7 linked regions of the Xenopus tropicalis genome follow. The protein of the gene in region 1 purifies or fractionates together with the protein of each later gene. This does not show direct contact. Links are inferred from orthologs where the notes say so. Each region holds a gene or a part of one and is shown in the gene's direction. Other genes may lie near its edges. The genes, in order: sinhcaf, brms1l, sap130, sin3b, sap30, ing2 and tnrc18.

Region 1 (4,368 bases):
TTGCTCACAAGGAATCCAAGGAATGCGCCGCGTATCCGATTACCTGCAGGTCCTTTCATCCGCTCTCAAGGCGCAGTCACTCGCTTCCTTTTCACATTCTGCAAAACAAATAAAGTCTGAGATACAGAAACATCACCGGCGTCTGCAGTGGGAAAATCTGTGACCCCCCCCCCCAGAAAGTACATGGCGCAGCCCAGCAGAATCCCACCTATTGGGCATTACAGGGGCTGTTCACCTGTGATATTCTAAAAACAATTTGCAATTAGTCTTCATTTTTTTATTGTTTGCGTTTTTTTAGTTATTGAGCTTTTTATTCAGCAGCTCTCTAGTTTGCAGTATTTGCAATCTGGTTGCTATGGTCTTAGATACCCTAGCAACCGTGCATTGATTTGAATGAGATACTGGAATATAAATAGGAGGTCGCCTGAATAGAAAGAGGGGTAACAAAAACTCGCAATAACAATACCTTTGTACCCCTACAGAGCAATTTGACTTGATGATGGGGTCAGTGACCCCCCATTTGAAAACTGGAGTCAGAAGAGTAAAGCAAATAACTCAAAAACTATAAAAAGAAAAAAATGAAGACCAATTGAAAAGTTGCTTAGAATTGGCCATTCTATAACATACTAAAAGTTAACTTAACCCTTTAAGAACTATGGGAGGCAGTGCCATCTTGGGAACTGGCTTGTATATGTTCATGTCAGGTAAGGAGGGGCAGCTTTGGGCAATTTGCCCCAAACCATGGGCAAAGCAGTATTGGCTGGTGGGCCGGTGGCCTAAAGCCCAGTCTTTGAACCATGGGCCAGCAGGTGTTGCTAGGCTACAACTCCCAGCATGTCCTGCTTCTTGATTATTGGTTGAAGAATGCTGAGTGTTGTAGTTCAGCCACATCCCCGGGCTAGAGGTTACAGAGCAGGGCCCTATAGAGATGCACTGGGTATAGTATTAGTATCAGGGCAGATTAGGAGGGGCAGTTGCACTCCCTGGGCCCCTGGTAGTTGCCCCACTGGGCATTTAGCCTTGGGCACATTACATTGGCTGAGTACACAGCAAATAGCCAACCTGTGGCCCTCCAGTTGTTGTCAGACTGCAACTCTCAACCTCATCAGAATGGGACCCCAGACTTCCTGCTCCTGAACTACAGTTCCCAGCATCCTCCCCAGACAGCCTCTCCGCTGAGAAGTTACTACTCATTCTGGGAGTTGTAAGATGTAGGACACGGTGAAGTTGGTTTGACCCAATTAGAGACAAAACAAACAACAGCTGTCAGTGTGTATCTATGGGAAGCTCCATTGTTTCCTATAGCTGTGAAATCTCCCTCCGCCGCCATCTGCTTGACCCAGTCCGGCAAGCGACCAATCACAGCCTGTAAATCCCTTCCACTCCAGCCTTGGCGCCTATCACCGTCATTGTTGTGAGTCTTTGAGCTCCTTTGCCACGCCCCCTTGTTGTTTGGAAGCCCCGGTTGCCATGGTTGTGATCGCCCCGCCCCTCTTTTGATTTTTCCCGCCCGGACCTTCTTCCAAATAAGGCGAGTGGAGACGCGGGAAGGGTGACGTCAGGGCGCCCATGCAAATGAGTTTGATTGAGTAGAACAAGAGCGTGGGAATGGCGCCTGCGCAGTGCGGCTGTGAGTGTGGCGCTGGCCCCTGAGCGCTGGCCCCTGGGAGTGCGATTTGGTACCTGCGACTGTGCCGAGTGTCCTGCGACTTGGGTTCCGAGGTAAGAAAGCGACTGGCAGCCCTGACACTGCCCCCTGTGCCTGCGGGGAACTTCCCGGCACTTTGCGGCTCCGACACCCCGTTACACGGCCCCATTGTTACTCTCTGTTACTTTGTATCCCCAACCGCACGGCTGTGGGGCTGCTCCTATGGGGCTACTATGGGCTACTATGGGCTACTATGGGGCTACTATGGGCTCCTATGGGGCTACTATGGGGGCTGCAGGGCCGGGGCTGCTGGGGGGAGTAACATACGGGCTGGGGGGCCCCGGTGTCTCTGTAGCGGGGTGAGTGGCACTAGCTTGGCGCCGCCAGCGAGGCCATGTGGCTGCTCCGGGGGGGCTGGTCCCTCCAGCCTGTGGGGTATGGGGGGGGGGGCTGGTCCCTCCAGCCTGTGGGGTATGGGGGGACAGGGTGCCCTCCAGCCTGTGGGGTATGGGGGGGACAGGGTGCCCTCCAGCCTGTGGGGTATGGGGGGGGCTGGTCCCTCCAGCCTGTGGGGTATGGGGGGGGCTGGTCCCTCCAGCCTGTGGGGTATGGGGGGACAGGGTGCCCTCCAGCCTGTGGGGTATGGGGGGGACAGGGTGCCCTCCAGCCTGTGGGGTATGGGGGGGACAGGGTGCCCTCCAGCCTGTGGGGTATGGGGGGGAGACGGGGTGCCCTCCAGCCTGTGGGGTATGGGGGGGACGGGGTGCCCTCCAGCCTGTGGGGTATGGGGGGGACGGGGTGCCCTCCAGCCTGTGGGGTATGGGGGGGACGGGGTGCCCTCCAGCCTGTGGGGTATGGGGGGGACGGGGTGCCCTCCAGCCTGTGGGTATGGGGGGGACGGGGTGCCCTCCAGCCTGTGGGGATGGGGGGGACGGGGTGCCCTCCAGCCTGTGGGGTATGGGGGGGCGGGGTGCCTCCACCTTGGGTATGGGGGACGGGTGCCCTCCCAGCCTGTGGGGTATGGGGGGGACGGGGGTGCCCTCCAGCCTGTGGGGTATGGGGGGGACGGGGTGCCCTCCAGCCTGTGGGGTATGGGGGGGGACGGGGTGCCCTCCAGCCTGTGGGGTATGGGGGGGGACGGGGGTGCCCCCCAGCCTGTGGGTATGGGGGGGGAACGGGGTGCCCTCCAGCCTGTGGGGTATGGGGGGGACGGGGTGCCCTCCAGCCTGTGGGGTATGGGGGGGGGCTGGTCCCTCCAGCCTGTGGGGTATGGGGGGGGGGCTGTCCCTCCAGCCTGTGGGGTATGGGGGGGGGGCTGGTCCCTCCAGCCCTGTGGGGTATGGGGGGGGGGCTGGTCCCTCCAGCCTGTGGGGGTATGGGGGGGGACAGGGTGCCCTCCAGCCTGTGGGGTATGGGGGTGACGGGGTGCCTCCAGCCTGTGGGGTATGGGGGGGACGGGGTCCCTTCCAGCGGGGTATGGGGGTGACAGGGTGCCCTCCAGCCTGTGGGGTATGGGGGGGACAGGGTGCCCTCCAGCCTGTGGGGTATGGGGGGGACAGGGTGCCCTCCAGCCTGTGGGGTATGGGGGGGACAGGGTGCCCTCCAGCCTGTGGGGTATGGGGGGGACAGGGTGCCCTCCAGCCTGTGGGGTATGGGGGGGACAGGGTGCCCTCCAGCCTGTGGGGTATGGGGGGGACAGGGTGCCCTCCAGCCTGTGGGGTATGGGGGGGACAGGGTGCCCTCCAGCCTGTGGGGCATGGGGGGACAGGGTGCCCTCCAGCCTGTGGGGCATGGGGGGGACAGGGTGCCCTCCAGCCTGTGGGGCATGGGGGGGACAGGGTGCCCTCCAGCCTGTGGGGCATGGGGGGGACAGGGTGCCCTCCAGCCTGTGGGGCATGGGGGGGACAGGGTGCCCTCCAGCCTGTGGGGTATGGGGGGGACAGGGTGCCCTCCAGCCTGTGGGGTATGGGGGGGACAGGGTGCCCTCCAGCCTGTGGGGTATGGGGGGGACAGGGTGCCCAGCCCTATAGTTACCTGGGTGGTACCTGTGGCATCACAGAGGGCATTGGAGCTGTGTATGTGCCCAGCGCTGATCAGCTCGGTGTCGCTTAGTGACGGGCCCGTTTGCGCCACTAGTGATACAGTGAGTGTTGGGCTTTTTGTGGCGCTTGTGTCCCATACAGAGTGCCGGGCACTAGTGTAATTGCACGACTGTCACGTACCGACACCCGGCTGTGACATTAACCCCCCGGTGTGCGGGCTGGACGTGCAGCGCTATTAGTAGCAGTCTGTGCGTCTGTAGCGCTAGTGTGTAGCCCTGTGCGTCTGTAGCGCTAGTGTGCAGCCCTCTGCGTCTGTAGCGCTAGTGTGCAGCCCTGTGCGTCTGTAGCGCCAGTTGTTGGCGCAATGTACGACACTCATGCTGCCGATCTGGGGGTTCGGGCTGGGAGACCGCATGTAGGAGGGGGAGGGGTGTTTTGGCTGGGGGGGGGGGGGAGGAAGCTGCACGTAGACACAACACCCCCCCCCCCCCCCCCATGCCCCTATAGCCCCGCCCACCGCAGGGTATGTTACTGGGGCAGATTCACTACCGGATTTGTTTAGTTCTATGTTTGGTCCCTGGCAACTCCATCGGATTTATCTGCTTATTCCCCCGGGGGCAAAGGTGAGTGGGAGCATGGGGCAACTGATGCCTTTTTTTGGGGGGGGGGTAACAGTAA
Region 2 (4,523 bases), on another chromosome or scaffold:
TGGCTGTATTTACATAGATCTTTCTGATAAAACTTACTTAGTTTTTACCTTTCCTTCTCCTTTAAATAGCCTTACTTTAGATGTAGTGGGTACTAATGTATTAAAGGACTGTTAACATACATAGGATAGATACAAAGCAATTTTAAGGATTTTATACCTGTTTTAATCTACAGTTACGGGTCTCTATAGGTCTGCAGTATGTTCTGACCATTGGCTAGGTCAGATCAGCCCAATTTGGACCGCTGAGGGGTGGTCAAAACGGGGCTGCTTCTTTGGCAACAGGACCAAACAAGCGGATCTCTGAGGGAGTGCTGCAGAGCATTTGCTTTCTTCCACTTCTTCATTCTTTAATGACCCCAGGCTGACACATGCACAGCAGAGTAAAAAAACAAACAAAAAACCCTAAAACCCTGCTTTTTAGTAAAAGCTTGGCATTTCATACTGTGCATTCACACCCAGAGCAAAAAAGGGAGACGCAGGAAGATGATCTCTCCATAGTGCTTACTCCCCACTTCTCTGTATGGGAGTGGGGGGGGGGGGGGGGGGGAAGAGAGGTTTGTTCGAACATGCGCACGGGGGGGGGGGGGCGGTATTGGTGAATGGGGGGCAGCCTCAGAGCGCCCAGATTTCAAAAAGAATGTTGTGCACGTGTCTTTGGGTGCCTATGTCGAAATGTGCATTTGTTTGCAATGATGAGAAATTAGGTATTAATGATGATGAGAAATCCTGGACTGCACCATTATATCCCTATAAAAGGACACAATGTTAAATGAAATATACATTTAAAAGAGTTACAAAAGCAAAGCCGTTTCATGGTATCTATTATCCAGAAACCCATTATTAAAAAATGTCCAAAATACTGGAACGCCACTTCCCTTGGAATCCTATTTAAACAAGCAATTATTTTTCTTTCTTTTTTTTTAATGTTTCCTTTATCTCTATAATAAGAGTACTGTGTACTTGATCATAACTAAGCTGCAGAAATCCAAATTAATCATATTGGGTCTTACTTAGTGTTCTTTAGGAGCCTTTGGGAATGGTACTCCATAAAGACTCCTTGTCCAAAAATCCCAAGCATTCCGGATAACAGATCCCACACATGCACAGCCGAAATCCTATTCGACCGGATGGACACTAATACTAAATATCCATTAAACCTCTACCAAACCTAGGCTTCTATAAAGTACAGCTTCAAATTGATAGGAACAAAGGTGGTTGATTACTATAGCCTGACGTCTTCTCTGTTTATAAACCGCCCGAAAAAGCACGCTGCCTCGCAATGGCCTTCGGAATTTGTAGTCAAATTTCCTGCCGTGTCATCCAGTAAGTAATAAAGACGAAACTACATTTCCCAGCAAGACGCAGGGTCCGCCCTTGTTCTTTCATGGAAACGTAGGAGCGAGTAATAAGCGACGGAAGGGTTTTGCTGTGGCCTATGGCTAGTAAATGATGCGTGCTCTTAAGCCAATCGTAAGCGCGAACGAATGATATATGGGCGGAGCTAAAAATATAGTACCGTAGAGTGGCCAATAGGAAAGGAAAGGTGGGTGCCGGCGCGGGTGGAAATTGGGGTCCGGAGAGGCGCAGTTTTAGGACGGAGGGAGTGAAAGCGAAGATGCCGGTTCATTCACGGGAAAAGAAGGAAAGTAACCACAATGATATGGAGGTTGACTATCCGGAAAATGAAGGCACTAGTTCCGAAGAGGACGATTCGGATAGTTCCAGCGGGAGCGAAGAGGGAGACAGCTCGGGTAAGCAGCTGACTGCTCCAACACTGCTCGCAACACGCACATCTACACGGCTGCACTACCGCCTGTGGCCGCTAGTTGTTTCATGGTGGGACGGCTGCGGGCTCAGGGATTTCACATCCTGCGGATCCCTGGTACTTGGCTAGTTCAGTGATAGAGCGGCCACCAGTGGAATAAAGGCGCTTTGCTGTTCTTCCTTTGCCGCAAAGCAATGCTGTGCTGTGGTGCAGTTATTCACAGGGACTTCTTGGTTATGGAAGCTCTGTCTTTTCAATATGAGGCAACCCCCCTCACATCTTGACAGGCAAGGCACATGCTGGATGTGATTCCCCTCAGAACAGTGATCCTTCCCTGTGTATCGGTGCCATTGATTTCCATTCATAGAACGTATCAGTGTGTCAGTAGCCATTTACATCTTAGGTCCCATTATCAAAGGTGCCTCTTGGGGTAGGAAACAAGTGCTAAAGGCATATTGTAATGTAGCAATTGTTTATAGGTAAGATAGAGATAGAAACTTAATGGACAGTCAATGTTTTTGTGAGATCCTTCTTCAGATGTTAGTTTAAAGCAGGGATCTTCAACCTTTTGGACTCATGAGCCACATTTAAATGTAAAAATAGTTGTGGAACAACACTAGCATTCAAAAATTTCATGGGAGTGCCAGATAAGGGCTGTGATTGGCTATTTGATAGCCTCTATGTGGACTGGCAGCCTCCAAACCAAGAATTCAAAAAATAAGCACCTGCTTTGAGGCCTCTGGGAGCAACATCCAAGGGGTTGGTGAGCAACATGTTGCCCCGGAGCCACTGGTTGGGGATCACTGGTTTAAAGAGACAGTGAACCCCCCTCTGCACTAGTGCAATGAATAGGCTTGTGTTGAACACTGCCTATTGATTTAATCACAAAAAATCTATGGATTTTATTATTACTTGAGCTAAACAGGGAAACTAAAGTTTAGAGTAACTAAAGATGAATTACCAGGATACAGCCCTTGTCTGTGCTTATGAAGCAGGAAAACATTATGCAGGGGGATCGCCTCTCGACCAAAGCACAGGTCTCGCAGGCTGATTCTCCCCCACATTTATAGGGGAGAGTTCTCCAAGACACATTTTTAAATATAAAAGACATTAAAGTCATTAAATCAGGGATCCCCAACTTTCTATACCCATGAGCCACATTCAAATGGAAAAAGTTTTGTAGAGCAACATAAGCATGAAAAAAGTTCCTGGAGGTGCCAATGAGAGCTATAATTGGCTATTTGATAGCCCCTATGTTGACTGGAAGCCTACAGAAGGATCTGTTTGGCAATTACACTGGGGTTTATGCAATCAAAACCAGAAATTCAAAAATAAGCTGTATCAGGAGCCAATTAGCCCGCATGGTTTTAGCTCTTGGAAGAAAACCAACTTTGCTTATAGTGCCCTGTCTGCAAACCTAGGCCCACAGAACTCTGATGTAGGCTGCCCCTTTCTCTTCCATTCAGATCATCTTGTTCATTTGAGAATTTTACCATTTGCTTTGGGTGTCTGTCTGTCTATCTATCTCATCATGTGCATGCTGAAAACCCATAAACAGAGGACCTCTGTAAAGCACCACAAACAATACAGATGTTTACAAAATTTTGCTCCATCACTTAAGTTGGCCACACATTCTCTTTAGATGCCCCCTTAGCTCATGTTTGATGCATTGGCATATTGTAAGTCAAAGTAGCTGCAGCAAAGGTCAGTTTATTTGGGCCAAACAGTACTGTTTGGCTATTCACATGTATATCCAAATAATATGAATTGCTGGTGGAAAGGCAATGCATAAGCCTTTCCATAGGTGATTCCCTTTATTGCCAGTAAAACAGTTTCTGAGGTAGATTCGTTGCCCACAGTAGCAGATATTTATTGTGGGCGACTAATCTCCTTATGGGACATTACCCTTAGTCCTTCTGCAGGCAGGGCATGAATTTATGTAGAGAAGGAATGTGTTTTGGAGTCTAGAAATGTAAACCTGTTCTTTTTTGTGCTTGCTGAGATACTGAGGCCTTTTCATTAGCAAGAAACAGGAGCTCACACCTACATTGATTGATTGGTCTGCTGGATGTTGGATTGTACATGATTTTTGTCTTGCCCATCACTAGTATTTGTAAGCTTCTTGAAAGAGCTATTTTAGCTTCCAGACTAAAATTCCTTCCTGACCGACAGATGCCTGTGGGTACATACAACGCTTCACTTGTAGTAGTGGTAAATTACCTTGTGTAAAAATTGTCTGTAAATGTATGGCTTCTCTCTCTGCCCTATCGATATTTCCATTTACTCTCTAGAGGAAAATATTCTGTGAACATAATAAAAGGGCTCAAAATGTTGCTGTCTAATTGGGAAAATTACATATGTTTATATAAAAGGCATTGTTCTTCTTTAAATGGGGAGGTGTACCCCTTTGTTCAACATGAGTTCTTTGAATGGGGCTTATGCCAAACATACTTTTTGCCTATTGTTTTAATCACAAGCGTCTACATATTTTGTAATTCCTTGAGCTAAACAAGGCAAATGGGGAAATTGAAGCTACTCTATGGTTGGTCCTAGCAAGGGAGATCATTTAGATTTCCAGTGCACATATAATCCCCTCCCCCCCCCCCCCCCTTGCATAATGGACTCCTGCTAACAAAACAGGTATAGTGGTGAATGGAGAGGATTATATGGTGGTAATCTAATTATCTACTTCACAAAGACCAAACATGGAGTAGGCTCAATCTCTCTGTTTGCCTGTTTAACTCAAGAAAAAACAAAA
Region 3 (4,306 bases), on another chromosome or scaffold:
AAGTAATTAGATATTTACTTGGTGTAAACAGAACACTTACTACTTAGTACTTTATTTGGACTTTTCTTTTGGATGGCGTGGTTAAGAGTGAAGACACACAGAGCTACTTAGTAGCAGCTACTTGCCACAGCTATTAAACACCAATAAATACCCTGCCATAGACAATACCGAGAATTGATTCTGCTAAAACACATGTAGAGACAATTATCAGTAAAAGACCAGCATTGTCTATTTTAGTAGCCATGACAAGTAGCTGCTACTAGTAGCTCCATGTGCCTTCACCCTATGGGAATGCCAATGTCTCAAAATGGTTACATTCACATCTATTCTGTCATGTTTTTTATGGTGTACTTTTTACACTGTTTACATAGCAAATAATTCACTCTACCATTTAAAATGTTATTTTTTTAGTTGTAATATTGGTGTGTAGGCAGTTATCTCAGTGCATTGTGCCTGATTCTGAGCTTTCAGAAAGAACCAGCTCTACACATTAGAACTCATTTCAGGTAACCTATTTTTTCTTGGATTTCTCAAGCTGGCCATACACAGACTGATTATTATCTTCATAATAATTTTTGTAACATGGTGATCAGTTGTTTAGTTGGACAGGTCAGAAAATTTTGGTCGGCTAACAATGAAATCTGTGCATGTATTGTGTATCTGATTATATACTTGGGGGACCTACAATTCATTTCCAAGTAGTCACTTTTGTACGATTGATGCCTGCCAACTATTTCATGTTCAGAACATCCTCCGATTTGTTATTTTTAGGGTTTTATCCAACAATTTCAGTCTGAGTGGAGACCCCACTGATAGCAGAATTGTCTGCTTGTTTACTCCTTTGTTAATATTATGGCCATAACTGTAAAACTGTGACTTGTAAGTTGGCGTATGCTTATAACTGTACAGAGTAAAGGTATAAGGCAGGGGTCCCAACCTTTCTTACAGGTGAGCCATAGTCAAATGTAAAAAGACAACACAAGCATGGTGGTGCCAAATAAGGGCTGTGATTGGCTATTAGGCAGCCTCTATGCACTCTATCTGCTTACAGGGGGCGTTATTTGGTACTAAATCCTGTTTTAGTCAACCAAAACTTGCCACCAAGTCAGGAATTCAAAAATAACTCCCTGGGTTGGGGATCACTGGTATAAGGCAAAGGCATTCTATAGGCAGACTATACTAAATCTTCAGGAATAAAAAAAAAAACATTTTTGGGAAAACACTGTACGCAATTTTCCCTGTCGGACCATGGCTGTGTTTGTAAACAAATATCTAAGAAAAGGACAATGCGTCCAGTCGCTACACCCAACGTGACTCCTTTCAGCTTGCCTTTGGGCGGGGCCAGACGCCAATCACGTGATCGGTTGCCGAGCGCGGTTCAGTCAGACTGAGGTGAAAGAAAGCTAGAGACCGGAACCGGAAGGCGAAATGCGACGCTAGACAACGGAGCTACAGTCTAGAGTGCTAATATTTAAAATTAAAGGTGTCGGGAAAAAAAGTAAGTGAGAGACTTTGAAAAAACTCTAATATGCCCGTATAGTGTACTTAGGAATACATAGGTCAAGCATTTAATACCTTCGTCTCTACTCGTATGGCTGCACTACAACTCCCATCGTATGGCGACAGCTTCTGAAGGCTGTCAGGAGTTCCTCGGCATTAAAATATAACAATAGTAGGAAATTCGCGTGTTGTAGAGCTATGAATGTGTTCCTAAATGGAGGAGACTTTGCTTTCACTGCGGGGACATAACCTGTCTGTGCGACTTAAGTAGGGGGAGGGGCACTTCATGGGGATTTAATTGAAATATACGTGTGGTGCAAGCTTCATGTGCGAGTGTGTATCGTTGCGCCAAGGCCATGGGACGTGCGGCCCTTTGGGTAATGTTGCCTGGTAGCTTTGCGTTCCGCAATACTGTTGTCCAACCTGCAGCGGTCTGGCTCCGTCAGTAGCACAACTGCTCACAGTCACTGCTGTAGGTTCGTAGCATTAGCTGGAGGGCTGCACATTGCTCTTCACAATCATGCTTTCCCATTTGACGGTTTTGTGGGATATATCTGTATGTGGTATGATATAGTTGTCCTGCAGCCAGATATGTGTGGCTCAGTCAGGACAACGGTGATATTTGACTGCTTCTGCTGCGACAAAGTGCAACATAGTATCAATTGACAGCACTGCTCCAATTTATTTTGTGAATGCTAATAAAGGCAATAGCATCATACCTGCTTTGTATTTTGATGGGTATTTGCCACTGTCTTACTTATATAGATTTTAGGGTTAGTGACTGACCATGGGCACCTTTTTATTTTTAGGCAAACAGTCCTATCATATACAAAATGTATGTATGTATGTATGTATATCTTTATTTATAAAGCGCTACTTATGTACGCAGCGCTGTACAGTAGAATACATTAATACAAACAGGGGGTTAATAAGATAATAGATGAATACAAAGTATAACAATAAATACAAATAAATACAAGATACAGTTACAGTTGCAATAAGTTAAGAGTCAAAGACACAAGAGGATGGAGGTCCCTGCCCCGTAGAGCTTACAATCTATATGGGAGGGGTAACTTACAGATACAAATAGGCAAATATAAGTGCTGTAGGTCACAGTGGGTGACACTACAATATAAGTGCTATTTCCCAGATCAGGTGCTGGGTGAGTGCTCCTCCTGAAAAGCATCCTTTTCAGAAACCGAGTTGTCAGTATACAATTAATGGTATTTTAAGTGTTATTAAATTAATTAGGTGATCTCTCTCCTTCAGGTGAATATGAGTTCTCAACAGTTTCCCCGCCAGGCAACATCCATGTCAATTCCCCAAGTTTCTAACAGTGGAGCAACCATGGGGCAGAATCCCCAAGGACAAGGTAACACCAAAGAACTGAAAAAGCTGTTTCTTCATAATATTTAAGTATTAAATTGCAATAGATACATATTTTACAATGTAAAAAAAAAAAAAGCAAAGTTTGTCTGAAACTGAAAATACTGTATAATACACTCATAAAACCTATTGATTCAAATAAGTAGTTATGACATCTACACCTAATAATGTACTTTGAACTAGAATGCCATAAATTGCCCTATATTCAGATGATTGCCTTTGTTCACAAAAGCAGAAAAAAGGAATCTATGCCTTCAATTGCCACCTCTCAATTACTGACATAACTAGAGGTGCAGAGCTGATGGTTTTTAGAAATCATGGGTGGTGTTTCCCTTTTAATTGATAGGGCATTCCTTCATTATGGGTAAAAACAATGTTAAATAGTACTACCAGGGCCAACAATCAGATCAGTACAGTATAGCCCAGTGCTTGGATGGTCAAATCAAGGAAGAGATCCACTCATTTGCAAGCTCATCCAAATCTGTATAACCTTAAGGTTTATGGAGTAATACTAATGCTAGTTTAAGAAAGACTATGATAATGTTGGTCTGTGGCAATTAAAACTGGTAGACTGCTTTTTGACACTTGTATGTTGCAGTTTGATTAGTAGTTTTAATGTGCCCAAGTGTATTTGAATGTACTGGAGAATTTTTAGAGAATTCACTTTTTGCCATATTGATAAATTCAGTGCCTAGCAAATGGTACGTTTCTGCTATTGCAATTAAAATTGACTGCTGTTAAAAAAAAATTTGTATACCATATAAAAGACTATATTTTTTAATACTACCACTGTGCTTGTATTTCTTGTGTGCAAACCCTTATTCTATTTAAAATTACATTTCTGCTAGCTCAGGGGTCCTCAAACTTTTTTTTAACATGGGGCCAGTTCCTGGTCCCTTAGACTGTTGGGGGGGCCGGACTGTAGTCCTCAAACTACGCTTGTTCTCAAAACTCAAACTGCGGCCCGCTTCCTGCTGCATCCTCCCACTCCCTGCTCACCAGCTCCCCTCTGCATCCTCCGGCTGCCTGCTCACCGCTGTGTCTGCAGACAGGTAGTAGCCAGGGGTGAGGATGCAACAAGGCCGGGTAAATTACCTTGGGGGGCTGGATACGGCCAGCGGGCCATAGCTTGAGGATCCCTGTGCTAGCTGGTTATAGCTCATATATTTTGTTGCAACAATTGCACAAAGTTTTAAAACATTAAACATAACTAGATACATTTTGAAACATTTTGTTTTACTTATACTACAATTGGTCAATAGAAAACTTAATTGTAGTGGACATTCAAATGGCAGTATTTCAGGATTTATTCAGTCAATAAATATCATGGGTATACTATAATAAATAAATACTCTCATAGCAGATTTTAATGTAGAACGAAATTGTAAAGTAAATGAAACAAAAAAAAAAAAAAAGTATC
Region 4 (3,035 bases), on another chromosome or scaffold:
TTAATGTGGATGGAGCCCATAGCAGTCAGAGCGAAGGCTTTGTCTTAAAACCTGTATTGTTACAGAGGTAGGTGGGAACACAGGAATGTGCATAAATTCACATTACAAGACTACAACTTTGTTGCCTTGGGCATGCACAGACGATAAGGAAACATCCAAAGAAGAGCAAAAGTACAAGTTCGTCTTTAAGCAAAAAACAATCCTGTTGCATTAATAAAGACCATCCTACCTTAATTATTCTCATTTTACCAGTATGGTTGTGTTGTAATAGATATATAAACAGGGGAATATATAATTTTGTTTACCTCAAGCTTCTATACTAGCTACTGGCTCAGTGTGCAGTGTTTGTAGTTATGCCAAAGCTGCCATTGTCATTTAAGTTCCATACTCTGTATTTACTACATTCCTTATTACCCACCGTTAGGCCTTCTGCTTCTTGTAGTAAGCCCATTACAAAAATATTATTGCATAAACCCGGGGACACTGATGTTGGGGGTATGGCATGGAGAACAGTAAAAATGTTCATGATTTGAAAGAACAAAAGATATCTGAAATGCATTTGACCGTCTGCTAGCAAAGTTAAAGGATGGCAACATTAAATTTTACACACAGAAGATAAAAGAACAAATCTGTGTCCCTTTAGCACATATTTGAATTAGGACATAGTGGGTTGGCATTTTCTTTGCGTTGATTTTGGGCTAAACTCCGTGGGAGATTTTGTAGGATGGTGTCGGATCAACAAAACACATCCTACTAGTCGGATGTAGTGGCATGGGTCAAAATAAAATGGGACTGATGCATGGCAAGATCAGATAAAATCCAACCCACAAAATCTCCTGTGGAGTTTATCCCTTTTACTACTGGTATTAACTTCTGAATCAATTGTCTTTTCCAACCACCTTTGTAGAAATATCAGAAGTTTCCATAGCTGGCAATATAGGACTATGAGAGTTATGAAGGATGAAGTGAAGTCATCTTGGAAGAAGCTTATGGGAGTAGAAAGCGCTAGTAACATGGACTGCCGCTTCAGGCTCAACAGCCACAAAATGATGTTTATTATTAATTCAGAAGACTATATGTACCGCTGGGGAACACTTTCCGGAGCCAGAGAGGTATGCTTACAGTCCCAAGTTTCATTTTCATTCTTAGGGACAAGGAGCAGGAAGTTTTTTATTTCTCAAACACTTCAGGGTGAATGTACAGTCTTTTTATACCAGCTTTATTGGGCTTGCATTTGTAATTCATGGTTTTCAGTAGTGATGAGCGAAAGATATTACCAGAATTTGACGCAAAAAAACATCCATAAACTCCAATGGCAATAAACAAAATTTGCGTGGTGTGGAAAAAGTTGCTGCAAAAACCACAATTTGACTTCAATGCATTTGGAGTGTTTTTGCGGTTGTGACTTTTTCAACAAAGCAAAATGTGACAGATATACTCATCACAATTTTCCAATATACATTAATGAATGTGGTCTTCTGAAAGCACCATTTTAATTTCTATTTGCATTATGCAAAATACAGGTATTTACTTTGATACAGTTGCTTGACTGTAATTAAGAATATTTGGCTTTTTATTGAGCAGATCTGTACCTTAAGACAGCACAATACCCCAAAGCTAGCCCCCCCCCCCCCCTTCCTCGGATAAACTGGCAGTTGTAACTAATTCAATTTATGAGATTTCCAAAGTGACATCTGACTTGGCATGTGCTTTAAAGAGCAATTTAAACTTTATTGCCCTACACATTTTTGGAGGATAACATCACACAGCCACGGGGGTTGCCACTCGGCAACCGAACGTGTCGAGATAGAGATAAAGCATAAGCTGTCTCTAAACCAGTAGTTGCAGAATGGTTCTGGAAAAAGTTCTGTGAGGCTATAAGAAAGTAGTTTAAACTCATAGATCTTTTATTTCTTTCATTAGTTCCAGGAGATACGTTTGAATCTAATTTATAGTATTAAAAATGTAGTATTCACATTTTAACTCTCCTACCTTTTTTTTCCTTCCCTCACAGGTACAGCCACAAGTTTTCCAAAGACACCATGAGAAGTTTTCTGAATGGCACAACCGCTGGCTTGAGGAAAACGTCAGTCCAAGAGCTGCGCAAGTCATACAGGATTGGCTTACAGGAGAAGAAGATGAGGAGATGGTTCCTTGCAAGACGGTGTGTGAGAACTCTGAAGTTCATGGCATGAGTGTTACCCGATATCGGGTGCAGTACCCTCGCAGGGCTGCCTCTCCCTAACACACCCAAAAACACAGTCACATTTCTACATTTGCTGCTCAACTACATTTCATAGGGCTGGGGTTTCTTATTTTATTTTTAATTTTTTTTGGTCTTTTTTTTTTGTTTTGGTGTGCCTGATATAAACTAGAATATGCTGAACAATATTTCCAGTGCCATGAATTTCCTTGAAAAGAAGCAATTTACAGAAAATATATGGACATAACTGACAGCACTACATGAGGGAAACGCATCTGATGGGGGTGTAAAAATGAAATAGAATTAAAAAAAAAAAAAGAGAGGATAATCCCTTTGTAAACATGTAACATGCTATTAGTTATATTTTATGACAGTGTTAATGAAACACAGACACAGTAAATGCTTCTCTTGCCATAATTTTTTTTGGCAGGGAGCTCTATATACATTGCTAGAGGCTCACTGTACAGTCAGAGATAGTCACCATGTCACGTCTGACACAGTTGCTATGCTTCTAACACAATTTTTACAATGCTGTCAGTATGCACATCTCCTGAAAGAAAATAGGCATATTAGCATTAGCCCAGAATCTAAGTGACATGTATGGCAGGACACGGGTTGTCACTCTTGGATTACACAGTACCATTGTGACAGCTAGATTTTTATAACAATCATGAGCACTTAAACAAGTTGGCTTTATGTATACTAAATATGACCAATAAATGCACATGCTATGTATTGTGAGACTTTAATAGGCTCTACTATATCATCAATCTCTAAATGCCAATAAATGCCAAAACATGGGCTTACTGAGATGTAAGCCTTTGCACATACA
Region 5 (4,525 bases), on another chromosome or scaffold:
GAGAGTTGGTTGGCTCACACAGTTAAAGGAATACTGTCATGGGAACATGTTTTTTCAAAACGCACCAGTTAATAGAGCTGGTACAGCAGAATCCTTCACTGAAATCCATTTTCAAAAACACAAATAGATTTTTTTAAATATGACATAGGGCTAAACATATTCTTCATTTCCCAGGGTGCCACAGCCATGTGACCTTTGCTCTGATAAACATCAGTCACACATTACTGCTGAGCTGCAAGTTGGAGTGATATCACCCCCGTCTCAGCAGCCAATCAGCATTAAAATGGGAAGGCAGCAAGATAGCAGCTCCAAGTAGATATCAGAATAGCACTCAACAATAAGAAATCCAAGTCTGGCTTAGGACTCCTCCAGATACATGGGAGTAGGAGAAACAGTAGGTTATCTGAAAGTATTTCTAAGAGTAAGAACCCATGGAGTGAGTTACTCGTCTGTGATAGATTTCTGCTATGGCGGGCAGGTAACCGTTCCGAAAAAAGGGTTTCCACCGGCAAAGAGGAAACTTGCGCGAGTTTGAAAAACCAAGTAATGTGAATGGCTTTCCACCGAAGACTTCTATTGTTGCCAGTGGAAACCCTTTTCGGAGTGGTTAATCACCCGCGATAGCAGAGATCTATCGCAGGCAAGTAACTCACTCCATGGGTGAGTACTCCATGGGTTCTTACCCTAATTTGTAGCGCTGGCTCCTTCTGAATGCTCAGACTCGGGTACATTGCACTGAGATGGCTGCCTACACACCAATATTATAACTAAAAAAAATATATTTGTTGGTTGAAAATTAAAATTTTGAATAGTAGAGTAAATGATTTGCTATGTTAACAGTGTCACTTAGAAATAAAAAGTACACCATAAAAATCATGACAGTATCCCTTTAAAGGGATATTGTCTGTCTGTTTTCTGTTTATGACTCATTTTGATGGGGTTCAATGTCCAATTTTCAGCCTTACCATGTTTAATTTTTGAGTGCACTGTTTTATTCTCTATTATTCAATATTCTGGCACTGTTTTATTCAATATTGTTCAATATTTTTTATTCTTGATTTTGAGTAGTGGTTTCCAGAGATCAGTAGATATATGTTGATGATAAGTCTGATGACTTTGTTACCCTTTCTACCTCATTTCACATCTAAGGGCACTGGTATTCTTTAGAGATTCCAATTTTTCTTCTACTCATGTGATTTCCAGCTCCGTGTATGGCAGTTGCCCTTCCATTGACCTAAATAGGAATACCCTGGGCCCTCCCACCAGAGATTTACATTTTTGCTGGTGAGAAATGATTTGCAGGAGCAGCGCCAATCCTGGGTCTGCTGCTGCCTGATGCAGCAGCCCCAATGCCACCCCCTTGCACCTTGCTTACAACTTTAACATCAAAAGGGGTTCAGAGGGGGCTGTATTGCTATAAAACTTTCTGCACTAGCAGAGACAAATTTTCATTTTAAGATCAGAAATTGGGCTCTTAAAGTTACCAGCTTTTTGACGCCCATGGTAACTAGCCACTTTCTGCCGCCTAAGGCAAGGTTCTCACTTTATCAGAAAAATATCCCAAACTCAACACAACATGTCAGTTTAAAAAATCACATTTTAATTCAAATATCCAAATTAAAAGTATACAGACCCCACAAAGTGCTGTCTTACGCGTTTCGTACCCATCCAATATTTAGTCATAGGCTGTTGTCCTATGACTAAGTACCGTATGGGTACAGGACATGTAAGGCGGCACTTTGTGGGGTCTGTATGCTTTTAATATGGATATTTGAATTAACTCTGGTCCTTCTTTTTTGACTGGCCATTTGAAACCCTTATAAATATAAAAAATTGTATATTAAAGGTTCTCACTTTGCCTCATGGCAGGATTGGCCTTGTGCAGGAGACTAGTTGCCTGTGGTAATCTTGTCATGTATCATTGCCCCAAGTCAGCAGCTTATCTGCCCATGTATAAACTCCCTGATAGTCTCCCCCACAGATATCTGTCTGGTTTAAAATTCCTGTTAGGTGAGGACTGCATAGGGATCTGCTATGATCCAAGCCAAGAGGCCAAATGATGAGATCAGCCCAATTAGGCCCAGTATGTAGGTGGGCAAATGAGCAGATCTTTAGGTGTATGACCACCTTTAGACTCATGTTACATATTACATGTGGTGTATGCTCTGCCAGTGAACAAGTACCTGAAATAGAGTAGCCAGTCATTTGGTTTTAAGGTAAACAGCCCAAAAACATACCAAATTTACCTGATGGCGGGCGGTTTCAATTAAAACCTTCCCGGTGAGAAAAACTATGCAGAGAATATGCCACACACGCCATAGCAATGGATATGTTTTCAGCTTAAGAGCCATCTTTCTAAAGCCGTTTTCTCTTGTCCTAATCTTTATCCTAGACTACACTATAAAACACAGCCAAAATATTTAGCAACTTATGGTAATGTCACTAAAGTGTCTGTGCTAAAATAAAATCCATTATATGTTATTGCTTTGCCAAACACTGCTTTGAAGGTCACTTCAGCATTTAGGAGCCTTCTGATGATATTGCGAAAGCAATAAAAACAGTCTGCATGCAGTTGCATTTATTGTACAAGTGGCCATAAAACTCAAAAAACATTTTGTTCATTCCAGGTCGATTTGTTTCAGTTGCAAGTAAACACACTAAGAAGATATAAGCGACATTTTAAACTTCAAGCAAGACCAGGGCTAAATAAAGCTCAGTTGGTGGAAGTAAGTACAACAGGTTAAAATGAATATTATCACTGTAACCTTATAGGAACTATTATCAACTCATTCAGTCATTTCTTACTTTTTATTTATTTTGTTTTATTAAGTATGTTAGGGTTTTTTGTTTGTTCTTCCCCCAAAATACCATTCATACAGCTATCTGATCAGTAGGGTAATTGACCTTAGCAAGCAGATTACAATGACATTTTATAAAAACAGAAATTTTTTAATGAAACTCTGTGATCATTTATCCTTGATTAGACCTTTCTAGGTACCAATTTAGCAGATCAAACTGTGGTGTGATTGCACTACTGGGGTTTGGCCAAAATTCCACTTATTGACTTCCGTTCACATGCAGAGTAATCAACTATCGCAGCAGCCCGGCAATCTACAGTTGGTTGAGTTGCAGACCAGATTGTATGCATGCTTGCATTTTACCAGGGATGGCTGTTTGCTCCTCCTGGTAAGGTGCCACCTTGTCTTATGGCAAAGATACCCTCATAGATTTGGATTGATGTGTTATTTCTATAAGTGTCTGTAAAACAACTCATCAACAATCTATTAAAGGCTTATTCACTTTTAAGAGTGTGAATTGGTACCCCTTGGGGGACCTTTGTGGCAGTTGCCCCAGTGATGATAAGGACCAGATTCAATTCAGTAATAAAAGGATTTCCTGATTTAGTTCTAGATTTTCCCATAGACTTCAGTGGTGTTTTTCACATCATATATCAGGAGATATGGCCCTAAGATCACTTAGCTGTTCCCAAAATTCCAGACATTTGGATAGCTGCCTCTACCTTTAGATGACCAGTTCAGTTATTTTGCTTACTGACCCTAGCATTCAGGCAGAGGTCTCAGTAACAGGCTGGAAGATAAAAAGAAGATTCAGAACATTCACAGTGATATATATATATATATATATAGAATGTATGTATAATATATAGGTTAATGATGCAATCTAAATTTCACGGTTTCATGAAAGTCATTTTGCATTTTTTTTATTCTTTTAGATAATTGGATGCCATTTCAGGACACTTCCTGTAAATGAAAAGGACACATTAACATATTTTATCTGCTCAGTGAAGAATGAAAAGAACAAATTGGACCACAAGTCTGATGGTGGTCTCCATTAGAACATAGGAGTGGTTTTATGGACATTTAGACCTGCTGGAGATATCGGCAAGCTCTGCTATGGAATAACATCTGTAAATAAAATAGTTTATTTTAGTGCTTTTTTGTGGAAGCTGTATATGTTGCAATCTCAAAGACTGAAATTTATTACTTAAAAAAAAAAAATTGAAGGATGTCTAAAAGTGCATGTGACTGTTAAAGGGCAATTTAACTACAAAGTGACTGATGTGTCTGTATCTAGTGCAATAATTTCACTCACAATTAACTCCTGGCCATGTGGAAGTTCATGTCGTATCACCTCTTTTTAACATTGCATCTGACATCTAACCTGATGTTCTGAGGTAAGTCAGCATAGCCACAAAACCGCCATGGTAGGAAGAATTAGTGTTATCATATTATCACATAAGCATCGTTCTGCCACAGGGTGACCATAAATTGTTTGGGTGAGAATTAATGATGGCATTGTTTTAAGTTTGCAGCAAGTTAGGGTATCATTGAAGGATTATAATGATTGGTTGGTATGATTTGAATTGTGATCCACAAAACAAGAAGATGAAACATTTTGGCAAGGTTTCTAGGGAGATTCCAAAAAGTGTTCACAGACAATTGTCCTAGCTGTCAATTGTTGACTTTGCCATAAAGGGCGTTATTTGTCCAAATGGGATGACTTC
Region 6 (4,538 bases), on another chromosome or scaffold:
CCATTCTTAGCCCAAGAGTCTGCAGTCACACAGCACTGTATGAATAGATGTAATGGGAAATGCTACATTGTAACTTTTTTTGTTTATTGTATCTTTATTCCTAGAAGTTGGATTTACTCTCCAACACAAATAAAATGTTACAATTCAGGCCCAAGTCTTACTTTGTATTCCTGCCCTGAATAGGAAGTCAGAAAGAGCTTGTTTCCTCTGCTGTATACCTGTGCATAGGAAGAAAGACAATTTCAATTTTAGGCACTTACATTATTGCATTGGAACCTATCTTATATCCTTCTCACCTATGCATTCAGTTCCTCCTGGTATTAGTACAGTCACCTACAAGTTAGAATAAGTTAGAGTAAGATCCGCTCGTTTTGCCAGGTTGCCAAGTGAGCGGACCTTCTCCCGATATGCCCACCTACGGGTGGGTGATATCAGGCTAATTCAATCAAATTAAGGGAGTCCCTAAACTCTGCAAAAATCACTAATGTTATCTAGATATGGAAACTGGAACTGAATTTAAAAGTGAATATACAATAACAAATCATTACCAACACTTTTCAACAACATGTATCAGTTGTGCCTCCTGACTTTAGAGTGTGAGCTCTTGAAAGCAGAAGCCTGTAATATGAATGTTTCCATAGCTCATGTATGTCCATTCATTGTAAAAACCCCGTTTATTAAATTAAATTGCAAAGCATGCATAACTTTCTCCTGCTACTTATTAAATAATGAGGATTGTGATGAAATGAAATCATTCTTCAGCCCCGCCTGTAGGAATAGGGAAGCTAAGGTAGGGCAAGTACAGGAGGGCTATATGCACCACAAGGCAACCTAAAGAAAGGAAAGTACAGTTACCATAACCCAACTTTGTCAAGACATCAGTGAGAAAGGCCATTGCTTGGCACCATACAGTAACAGCGCCAACCCCTCACATCACACACACGGATTAGCATCCATCACTACTTCAACAACCCCCATACACACACGGGCATGGTAGTCATGGCCACACCAGGAAGTGACAGCTAGCGTCCCCACACAATGTGCATCCGAACCCCTATATGTAGGAATCACACCAGGCCTGGACCTGCGGCCCGGCAGCCGCTTTTCACAAATATATGCAAACGATTACCGGGCTAGGTACAGGAAATGTAAAAATAAAAAATGAAGTAAGGGGCGTGGCTTGCCGCTTACATCCCACCTGCTCCCCCTCCCTATCTTCCTTTGAACGTCCAATCAGCGTCAGGCTGGGTGAAATGCGGGAAATCCAAACACCATTAAATGGGGGTCAAAATAAATCGTAGAGCCTTATATGGTGAAGTGGCGCACATGCGCAGTGTCCTGCCTCGGCCCGCTGGATTCCAAATTGGAATGCGGCCTGAGCGAGAGAGCAGTAGTGGAGTTAGCACGTTACTACCGGGGCAGGAACCTCCTGTGCTAGCTCCGCCCCCTCCTCTTCGATAACTCCTCAGCAGTGCGAGTGTGGGGGGAGCTTGGAGTCTCAGCTTGTGTTTCGGTATTACTCGGTCCCGCTGCTCCGCTAGTGCTGTGCTGAATGCTTATGCTGGGGGACTATGTTAGGGCAACAACAGCAACACTTGCACTACTCCCCGGGGAGCTCGGCGGCGGAGGACGGCCAGCTGGTGAGCTATGTGGAGGAGTACTTGGAGTGCGTGGAGTCGTTGCCGTTGGAAATCCAGAGGAGCGTCACTTTGCTACGGGAGATCGATAGCCAGTACCGGGGTGAGTTGCTTGTCAGTGTTGTAGGGGGAAGGGATGATCCCGTCATGCTAGAGGGGGGCAGTGACTGTTCCTATCGGCCCTCCGCAAGCAGATTCGGGCTGTGCTAGTAGGGCAGGCGGGCGCAGCGAGGGCTTCTGGGTTATTAGCCCCCCAAAGTGTACTGTCGGGGTCCCCTACACGTGGCGGCACCCCTCTCCCCTGTGTAGCGAGCTTTCAAGTTAGATCTCGCCGAACTACATCCCATCGACACCCAGCCTTTGGCAGTTCGGGGCTGATGGGAGCTGTAGGTAAGCAACAGTTTGTTTGTCGTGTAGATTTTATAACCCAACTGTCCAGGGAGCCCCTTGCAGCTAGCAGGCAAGCCAACCTGCGGCCCTTCAGATGTTAAAACAACTACATTCTCCCAGCGGTGGCTAGATTTACGGGGGATGCTGGGAGTTGTAGTTCTATAACTTCTGGAAGGCCGTTATCTCCCTGTGGGACGGTTGCGGCGTATATGTGCCATTGTAACAGGCGGGCTGGGGAGTTTTGTGCTGTAATGTGTGGGGTTGGGGCTTACAGTGGGGAAGCGCTCGGCGCTGTCAGTGATCGGTGGGGGGGAGGGAGCGGACTCAACGTCATATCCGGGGGCGGCCACTTCTGGTATAGGCGGAAATCAGAAAGAAGGGCCGCATAGGGGAGGAGAGGGTTTCTATGAATAGACGGGCTTATAAGGCACATACGAGCTAAGGGTAGGGAACAGGCAGCGCAGATAAATGGTTCTAAGCTGTTTGCTATACTGCGCTTTCAAATGGCTACTGAGAGTTATAGTTGTACAAATGAGTCTGTTCTCATTGGGTGAGCAGGGGCCCGATATTGTAATGGGCGGTGGCGAAGAAGCATAAGACAGGGAGGTTATATTAATGGCTAGTGGGCGGGGCGAGAGGGAGGAGGGGAGGTGCCAGTCACAGTGGAAGCAACAAGGCTGGGAAGGGAGGAGCCTGACTAGATGGGAGGAGCGAGGCGCAGTGGGTAGGGACACGGATAGCGGGCTGGCGCAAAGACTGGATAGAGAAAGAGGGGGAGGCGCTACTGGTCTCGGCTTTTAACAAGAATGGAGGCGGGGCCGCGGGGGGCGGGCTGTAACAGGCTGTGGCCAGTTAGAGGAGCTGCGTTTGGCTTGTTAGACAAATGGGGGGTGCACTGGATATGCGCAAGGAGTTGGTTTGGGGGTGCTACATACAAGGGCTTGGTGTCGGGGAGACACTGGCTGGAATGCATCAGATCATGTCACTTGCTTAAATCGTAAAATCTCGATGAGTTCTCAGCGCTTGCTTTACAGTAGTCGCAATGTAGGCCTATGTTCACCAGCCTGCTCTTTCTTTAGCTACATCCCTAACAATCTGCTCGTTTGATTTGTGTTCACTGAAGGCTGGGGTTGGCAGTGCCAGCTCTGTGACAGAGATGAGGTGTGCAGCCCCTGCAGTTTTCCAGACTGCCCACAACTTATTGAGGTTCTGCTAATGTTGAGGGACAGTTGCCTCTGGTACTAGCTATGGTACAGCTGCTGAACTTGCCAGAGCACAGGACTAGCCTGCAGCAGGTAATGCAGATTTGCAGCTCACCCTTAATATTAACTACATAACTTTTTTGGTTCTGTTTCCAGAAGCTCTAAAAGAAGTTGATGATGTTTTTGAAAAACATTCAAATGAAACTGATGCTAATCAGAAAAAGCGACTCTTGCAGCAGCTTCAGAGAGCCCTCATTGTGACCCAGGAGCTTGGCGATGATAAAATACAGCTAGTTACCCAAGTGTTTGAGTTGATAGAGAACAGGACGAAGCAAATGGAATCTCTCTGCCAAGGCTTCTTTGATCAAGAAGAGAGTGAAAAGTCTGTGGAAAAATCTAAAGTTGAATCAAATGCATCTGAAAGGTCTACACGTAGACCTCGCAGGCAGCGCAACAGCGAGAGCCGGGAGTTATGTCACATGGTCAATGGGATGGATGACATCGAAGAGCAGCCACCAAAAGAAAAGAAATCAAAGTCGTCCAAAAAGAAAAAACGTTCCAAAGCCAAGCAAGAAAGAGAGGCATCCCCTATACCTTTTGCAATTGACCCCAACGAGCCCACGTACTGTCTGTGCAATCAGGTGTCTTATGGTGAGATGATAGGATGTGATAATGACGAGTGCACCATAGAGTGGTTCCATTTCTCTTGTGTTGGACTTACCTACAAACCAAAGGGCAAATGGTATTGTCCTGACTGCAGAGGAGACAATGAAAAGACTATGAACAAAAACACAGATAAAACAAAAAAGGACAGACGGTCGAGGTAGTTTAGGTTCGCCCTGTGTATTTGTTTTTCTTCCTTTTTGTTTTCTTATAAAGAAAATGTTTTAGATACAATGTCATATTTTAATAGTATTGCAATATTAAAACCTTTCCGTTTGTGACTTTGTGGATTTGCCACTTTCTTAAAGTATGGAAGTGTCTCCAAAAACAGAGGCCCGCCACAAGCATCATTACAATTTGTGTATTATACAGTAGTTTAATATGTAGGAATAGTGTCATTTTTATCCACATTATCAGGTTCTTTAACGCATTTCCTATGCCATATGCAGGCATTTTGCACACAGACATTTTATTTCTATGCTGTGTATTAAAATGTATATATTAAATGAGTTCAGTTGCCCCGCTCATATATTAATTCAGTTATGCGGGGAAGTAACACCTCATGCTTTGCTATCTGTGGAACAATAAATAGGAGATAAAACCTGCTTCTAAATGCCCCTTTTAATATAAATATAAAACACAGTTT
Region 7 (3,768 bases), on another chromosome or scaffold:
ATAATGGTCCCAATCTTTATCTTTGTTTCTTGTATATCCGTATTTTCTGATTTTATAACTTCTTCAGATTAGAGAAAAACTTCTGAATGGATTTTTGGCCTTTTTTTGTCACAGGAGAAACGATAATTAATGAAGACACAGTTGACAAAGAATCACTTTTGAGTACTAAAATATGTTTAGAAAAACATGAAAGTTCACAGACAAGCATAAAGTTGGGTACAAAAATTCTTCAAATACCAGAAGAGAATTCACCTACACACGGAACACCAAAAATCAGGAAGCCTGAACAGATGAAGACTGCTAAACTCTGCAATGCAAAGCAAACAATTTATACAGGGCGTACTTTGGGGAAAGTTGAAAATGGAAATCCACCATGTGATTTAACAGTAAACTTGTTTGACCAATTAGAGGATACAAAAAAGATTAGAAAACTAGAAGAGCAGAGAGACTTTGTATCACTTTCCACAAAACAAGGCAAAGCAGAAAATGATTTTTTTGTGAAGTTGGATCATGAAGGAGTAATGTCCCCAAAAACTAAAAAAGCTAAGGAGGCTATGATGTGGCTTGAAGATGCCAGTGTAACAATGAAAAAAACCAGAAAATGCATTATGGGTGTGAGTTATGCTCCTGTAAAGCATGAATCCAAACAAAAGCTGTCTAGATCTAAACCTCATTTAGCCAAACACACTACAGCTTGTGATTCTGAAGCCCTAAGTAGTTCATTAGACAAATATAAAAAAAAATCTGATCAAAAACAGGGACTCCTAGACCCAAGGGAAGAATCAGATGGCAGTAGCAGCAACTCAGAGTCTGAGGGCGAAGAGGACAAAGAAAACAAACAAAAGCAAGCACAGGGAGATGAAAGCTCTAGCAGTTCACAATCTTCAACATCTGTATGCTTGTCTAAGTCTTCATCTGGCACCAGCTCATCATCTTCCTCCTCTTCTTCATCCTCATGTTCATCATCTTCAGCTTCCTCAAGCTCCAGTTCATCGTCCTCTTCAACAACAGATGAAGATTCTTCTAGTACTTCAGAGGATGAAACCCAAGAATTGACTTCAAATCCCACAAATCTTCAAATATCTCTTCAAAAGGGGAGTATAAAACCTGCCATTAAACCTGGAACTCCCCAAATTCAAAATCAAAGGCAAAAAAAACAAGAACAGAAAAAGGGCAGCAAAAACACACCTAAGAAAAGGGAAGGAATTCATTTGCCTACAACCAAGGAGCTTGCCAAAAGGCAAAGGTTACCATCTGTAGAGAACAGACCTAAAATAGCTGCATTCCTGCCTGCTAGGCAACTCTGGAAATGGTTTGGGAAACCTACTCAGGTAATTTAATTATAGCCTTCTATTTCTCATACAGATTGTATGACATTAATGTATAATCAGTACAGGTACTACAACCCTACAACAACCTTTGTTGAATTTGAAAGCAAATCGATAAAAGAGCACTTGCACCTGTAATAATGAAAGGCACAAGCTGCACTCTGCAGCATAATAGCAAATTCAGAATTTACCAAAAGGTGCAAAGCAAAGCTCACATGGGTGCAGGAGAGGACATTGGAAGGGCATTGTCCTCCTCCTTCCCTTACATTTTTCATTTAATTTTTATATTATAGTAAGCTGGCAACACTTTTTGAAACCGTAAATTACTAAAAGTATTAAGCCCATATGTAATAAAAGGCTCAAAATTTACCTAGATGAAAAAGCAAACTTTGCACCTTATGTTACATACCTACCTTTATGTATTAAAACTGGCAAATTTTCAGTGCAGTTGGCCACAATTGTCTGACACAACTCCCTCGATGTAGAAATGACGCTGGTAAAATGGGGTAAAAATGCTGCTTGTGGGATCCTGACGAAGGGAGGGTGTATCCCCCCAAAACGTTGATCAAGGTGGTCACAATAAATGGGATAAGCTCCCTGTGTGTGCGGCTCAATTACAAAAACAGTTTCGCTGAGGATTAGGACCTGCCAGTCCTACGGATTGCTTGCACTACTAGTGCAGTGGATGTGAAATTTACAGGTGTGCAGCTTAAATAAATGTGCTTGTGGGTATAAAACACAGTGATTGTGTCTGAAATTGCATACTTCATTTGCAGTAGGTATATGACCAAATATAGTTGTTTTTTTGTTTTGTTTAGTTAAATCACCCTTCTCATGTAGACCATTATGAATAACATGTGGTACCTGATTTGAATCTGACCAAAAAGTTAGTTATAAAACCACGGCACAATAGATTCTCTCTGCTCCAATGTCTTACAAATGAGTGGTGGGCACATGTTAATGGCATGGGACCTAATATTCAGAATGTTTGGCACATGGGATTTCTGTATAAATCTTATAAATGTATAAGGTTTTTTTTTCCATAGTTTGGATCACCATTACTAAGTCTACAACAAAACATTTAATTAATGCCTTACCTAATACTTAGAAAACTTAGAGCCAGGGACTGTGCAGTGATCTTGTGTACACACACTTACACAGTTTTGTGGATTTTTTTTGTCTAAAAAAAGTGTTATTGCCATTGTGATTAGCGTGTTGGCTGACTGCACTGTGCAATACCTTTTGTATGTTATTTTGGTGCTTATATGGTGATTTTGGTGCATTTTTAGTAATTTAATTGCATTTTTAGCCATTGTATTGCATTTTCAGTTCTGCATAGGTGCATAATTTGGCCAAGCTAAAATATTAAAACTGATTTTGACTGCAGATTTCAATGGGCAAAAAAGCCCCTTGATTTTAGTGGTTTTGTTGGATTTTAGCAATTTTATTGCATTCTGCATTGTTCTTTGTTACTTTCATTTTGCACATGGAAATTTTGTCTATTTTTGTTACATATATCAATTTGAGTGTCTCATGTCACATAGTTTGGTAAACCTATGCACATAGGGCACGATTTTTTGAAATTTCATACATAGTAATATAGTAAATTAGGTTGAAAAAAAGACGTGCGTCCATCAAGTTCAACCATAATGCCTATATATAACCTGCCTAACTTCTAGTTGATCCAGAGGAAGGCAAAAAAAACCCCCATCTGAAGTCTCTCTAATTTGCCTCAGAGGGGAAAATATTCCTTCCTGTCTCCAAGATGGTAGTCAGACCAGTCCCTGGATCAACTTGTACTAAGAGCTATCTCCCATAACCCTGTATTCCCTTACTTGCTAAAAAGCCACCCAAAATCCTTTCCGAATACTTAAACAGAACCTCTCTTTTTCTAAACAGAGTGGGTGCCCCTGTGTCCGTACGTAGGACCTACAGGTAAATAAAGCATTAGAAAGTTTATTATATGATCCCCTTGTATATTTATACATAGTTAATGTCACCTCTTAAGCGCCTCTTCTCCAAGGTAAACAGACCCAACTTTCTTCATAACTGAGACTTTCCATACCCTTTACCAGCTTAGTTGCCCTTCTCTGGACCCTTTCTAATTCAATAAAGTCCTGTTTGAGCACTGGAGACCAAAACTGAACAGCATATTCTAGATGGGGCCTTACCAGCGCTCTGTAAAGGGGAAGAATAACACCCTCCTCCCGTGAATCTATGCCCCTTTTAATACAGCTCAAAACCTTGTTTGCCCTTGCAGCTGCTGCCTGGCATTGTTTGCTAAAACCAAGTTTATTATCTACAAGAACTCTCCATTATGGATTTGCCTAGTGCAGTCCCATTAAGGGTATAAGTGGCTTGCATATTTTTACATCCCAGGTGCATGACCCATACCGCGTCAGACCAGAGTATCAGACGTGAAAATTCATATGCACTATTT

Evidence for each region.
Region 2: the proteins of sinhcaf (region 1) and brms1l purify together in Homo sapiens (affinity purification with mass spectrometry; 3 studies listed by BioGRID and IntAct, counting the BioPlex papers as one, with this or other methods). This does not show direct contact. The link is inferred for Xenopus tropicalis from reciprocal best matches to the Homo sapiens genes SINHCAF and BRMS1L.
Region 3: the proteins of sinhcaf (region 1) and sap130 purify together in Homo sapiens (affinity purification with mass spectrometry; 3 studies listed by BioGRID and IntAct, counting the BioPlex papers as one, with this or other methods). This does not show direct contact. The link is inferred for Xenopus tropicalis from reciprocal best matches to the Homo sapiens genes SINHCAF and SAP130.
Region 4: the proteins of sinhcaf (region 1) and sin3b purify together in Homo sapiens (affinity purification with mass spectrometry; 3 studies listed by BioGRID and IntAct, counting the BioPlex papers as one, with this or other methods). This does not show direct contact. The link is inferred for Xenopus tropicalis from reciprocal best matches to the Homo sapiens genes SINHCAF and SIN3B.
Region 5: the proteins of sinhcaf (region 1) and sap30 purify together in Homo sapiens (affinity purification with mass spectrometry; 4 studies listed by BioGRID and IntAct, counting the BioPlex papers as one, with this or other methods). This does not show direct contact. The link is inferred for Xenopus tropicalis from reciprocal best matches to the Homo sapiens genes SINHCAF and SAP30.
Region 6: the proteins of sinhcaf (region 1) and ing2 purify together in Homo sapiens (affinity purification with mass spectrometry; 3 studies listed by BioGRID and IntAct, counting the BioPlex papers as one, with this or other methods). This does not show direct contact. The link is inferred for Xenopus tropicalis from reciprocal best matches to the Homo sapiens genes SINHCAF and ING2.
Region 7: the proteins of sinhcaf (region 1) and tnrc18 purify together in Homo sapiens (affinity purification with mass spectrometry; 3 studies listed by BioGRID and IntAct, counting the BioPlex papers as one, with this or other methods). This does not show direct contact. The link is inferred for Xenopus tropicalis from reciprocal best matches to the Homo sapiens genes SINHCAF and TNRC18.

What each region holds. Positions count from the first base shown.
Region 1 is NC_030679.2:5,182,525-5,186,892, forward strand, and holds the start of sinhcaf (SIN3-HDAC complex-associated factor), read left to right. Parts: upstream 1-1,561; 5' UTR 1,562-1,722; intron 1,723-4,209; exon of another isoform or gene 4,210-4,313; intron 4,314-4,368. UniProt on the Homo sapiens protein: Subunit of the Sin3 deacetylase complex (Sin3/HDAC), this subunit is important for the repression of genes encoding components of the TGF-beta signaling pathway.
Region 2 is NC_030684.2:108,267,548-108,272,070, forward strand, and holds the start of brms1l (breast cancer metastasis-suppressor 1-like protein), read left to right. Parts: upstream 1-1,553; 5' UTR 1,554-1,615; coding exon 1,616-1,751; intron 1,752-4,523. UniProt on the Homo sapiens protein: Involved in the histone deacetylase (HDAC1)-dependent transcriptional repression activity. When overexpressed in lung cancer cell line that lacks p53/TP53 expression, inhibits cell growth.
Region 3 is NC_030681.2:125,414,950-125,419,255, reverse strand, and holds the start of sap130 (histone deacetylase complex subunit SAP130), read left to right. Parts: upstream 1-1,419; 5' UTR 1,420-1,498; intron 1,499-1,653; exon of another isoform or gene 1,654-1,672; intron 1,673-1,780; exon of another isoform or gene 1,781-1,856; coding exon of another isoform or gene 1,857-1,877; intron 1,878-1,911; exon of another isoform or gene 1,912-1,976; intron 1,977-2,769; coding exon of another isoform or gene 2,770-2,775; coding exon 2,776-2,872; intron 2,873-4,306. UniProt on the Homo sapiens protein: Acts as a transcriptional repressor. May function in the assembly and/or enzymatic activity of the mSin3A corepressor complex or in mediating interactions between the complex and other regulatory complexes.
Region 4 is NC_030677.2:111,975,821-111,978,855, forward strand, and holds the end of sin3b (paired amphipathic helix protein Sin3b), read left to right. Parts: coding exon 1-67; intron 68-907; coding exon 908-1,112; intron 1,113-2,014; coding exon 2,015-2,245; 3' UTR 2,246-2,391; downstream 2,392-3,035.
Region 5 is NC_030677.2:48,751,076-48,755,600, reverse strand, and holds the end of sap30 (histone deacetylase complex subunit SAP30), read left to right. Parts: intron 1-2,627; coding exon 2,628-2,726; intron 2,727-3,733; coding exon 3,734-3,856; 3' UTR 3,857-4,019; downstream 4,020-4,525. UniProt on the Homo sapiens protein: Involved in the functional recruitment of the Sin3-histone deacetylase complex (HDAC) to a specific subset of N-CoR corepressor complexes. Capable of transcription repression by N-CoR.
Region 6 is NC_030677.2:45,195,186-45,199,723, reverse strand, and holds ing2 (inhibitor of growth protein 2), read left to right. Parts: upstream 1-1,543; 5' UTR 1,544-1,571; coding exon 1,572-1,740; intron 1,741-3,385; coding exon 3,386-4,056; 3' UTR 4,057-4,174; downstream 4,175-4,538. UniProt on the Homo sapiens protein: Seems to be involved in p53/TP53 activation and p53/TP53-dependent apoptotic pathways, probably by enhancing acetylation of p53/TP53. Component of a mSin3A-like corepressor complex, which is probably involved in deacetylation of nucleosomal histones.
Region 7 is NC_030685.2:46,769,459-46,773,226, forward strand, and holds part of tnrc18 (trinucleotide repeat-containing gene 18 protein), read left to right. Parts: intron 1-114; coding exon 115-1,331; intron 1,332-3,768.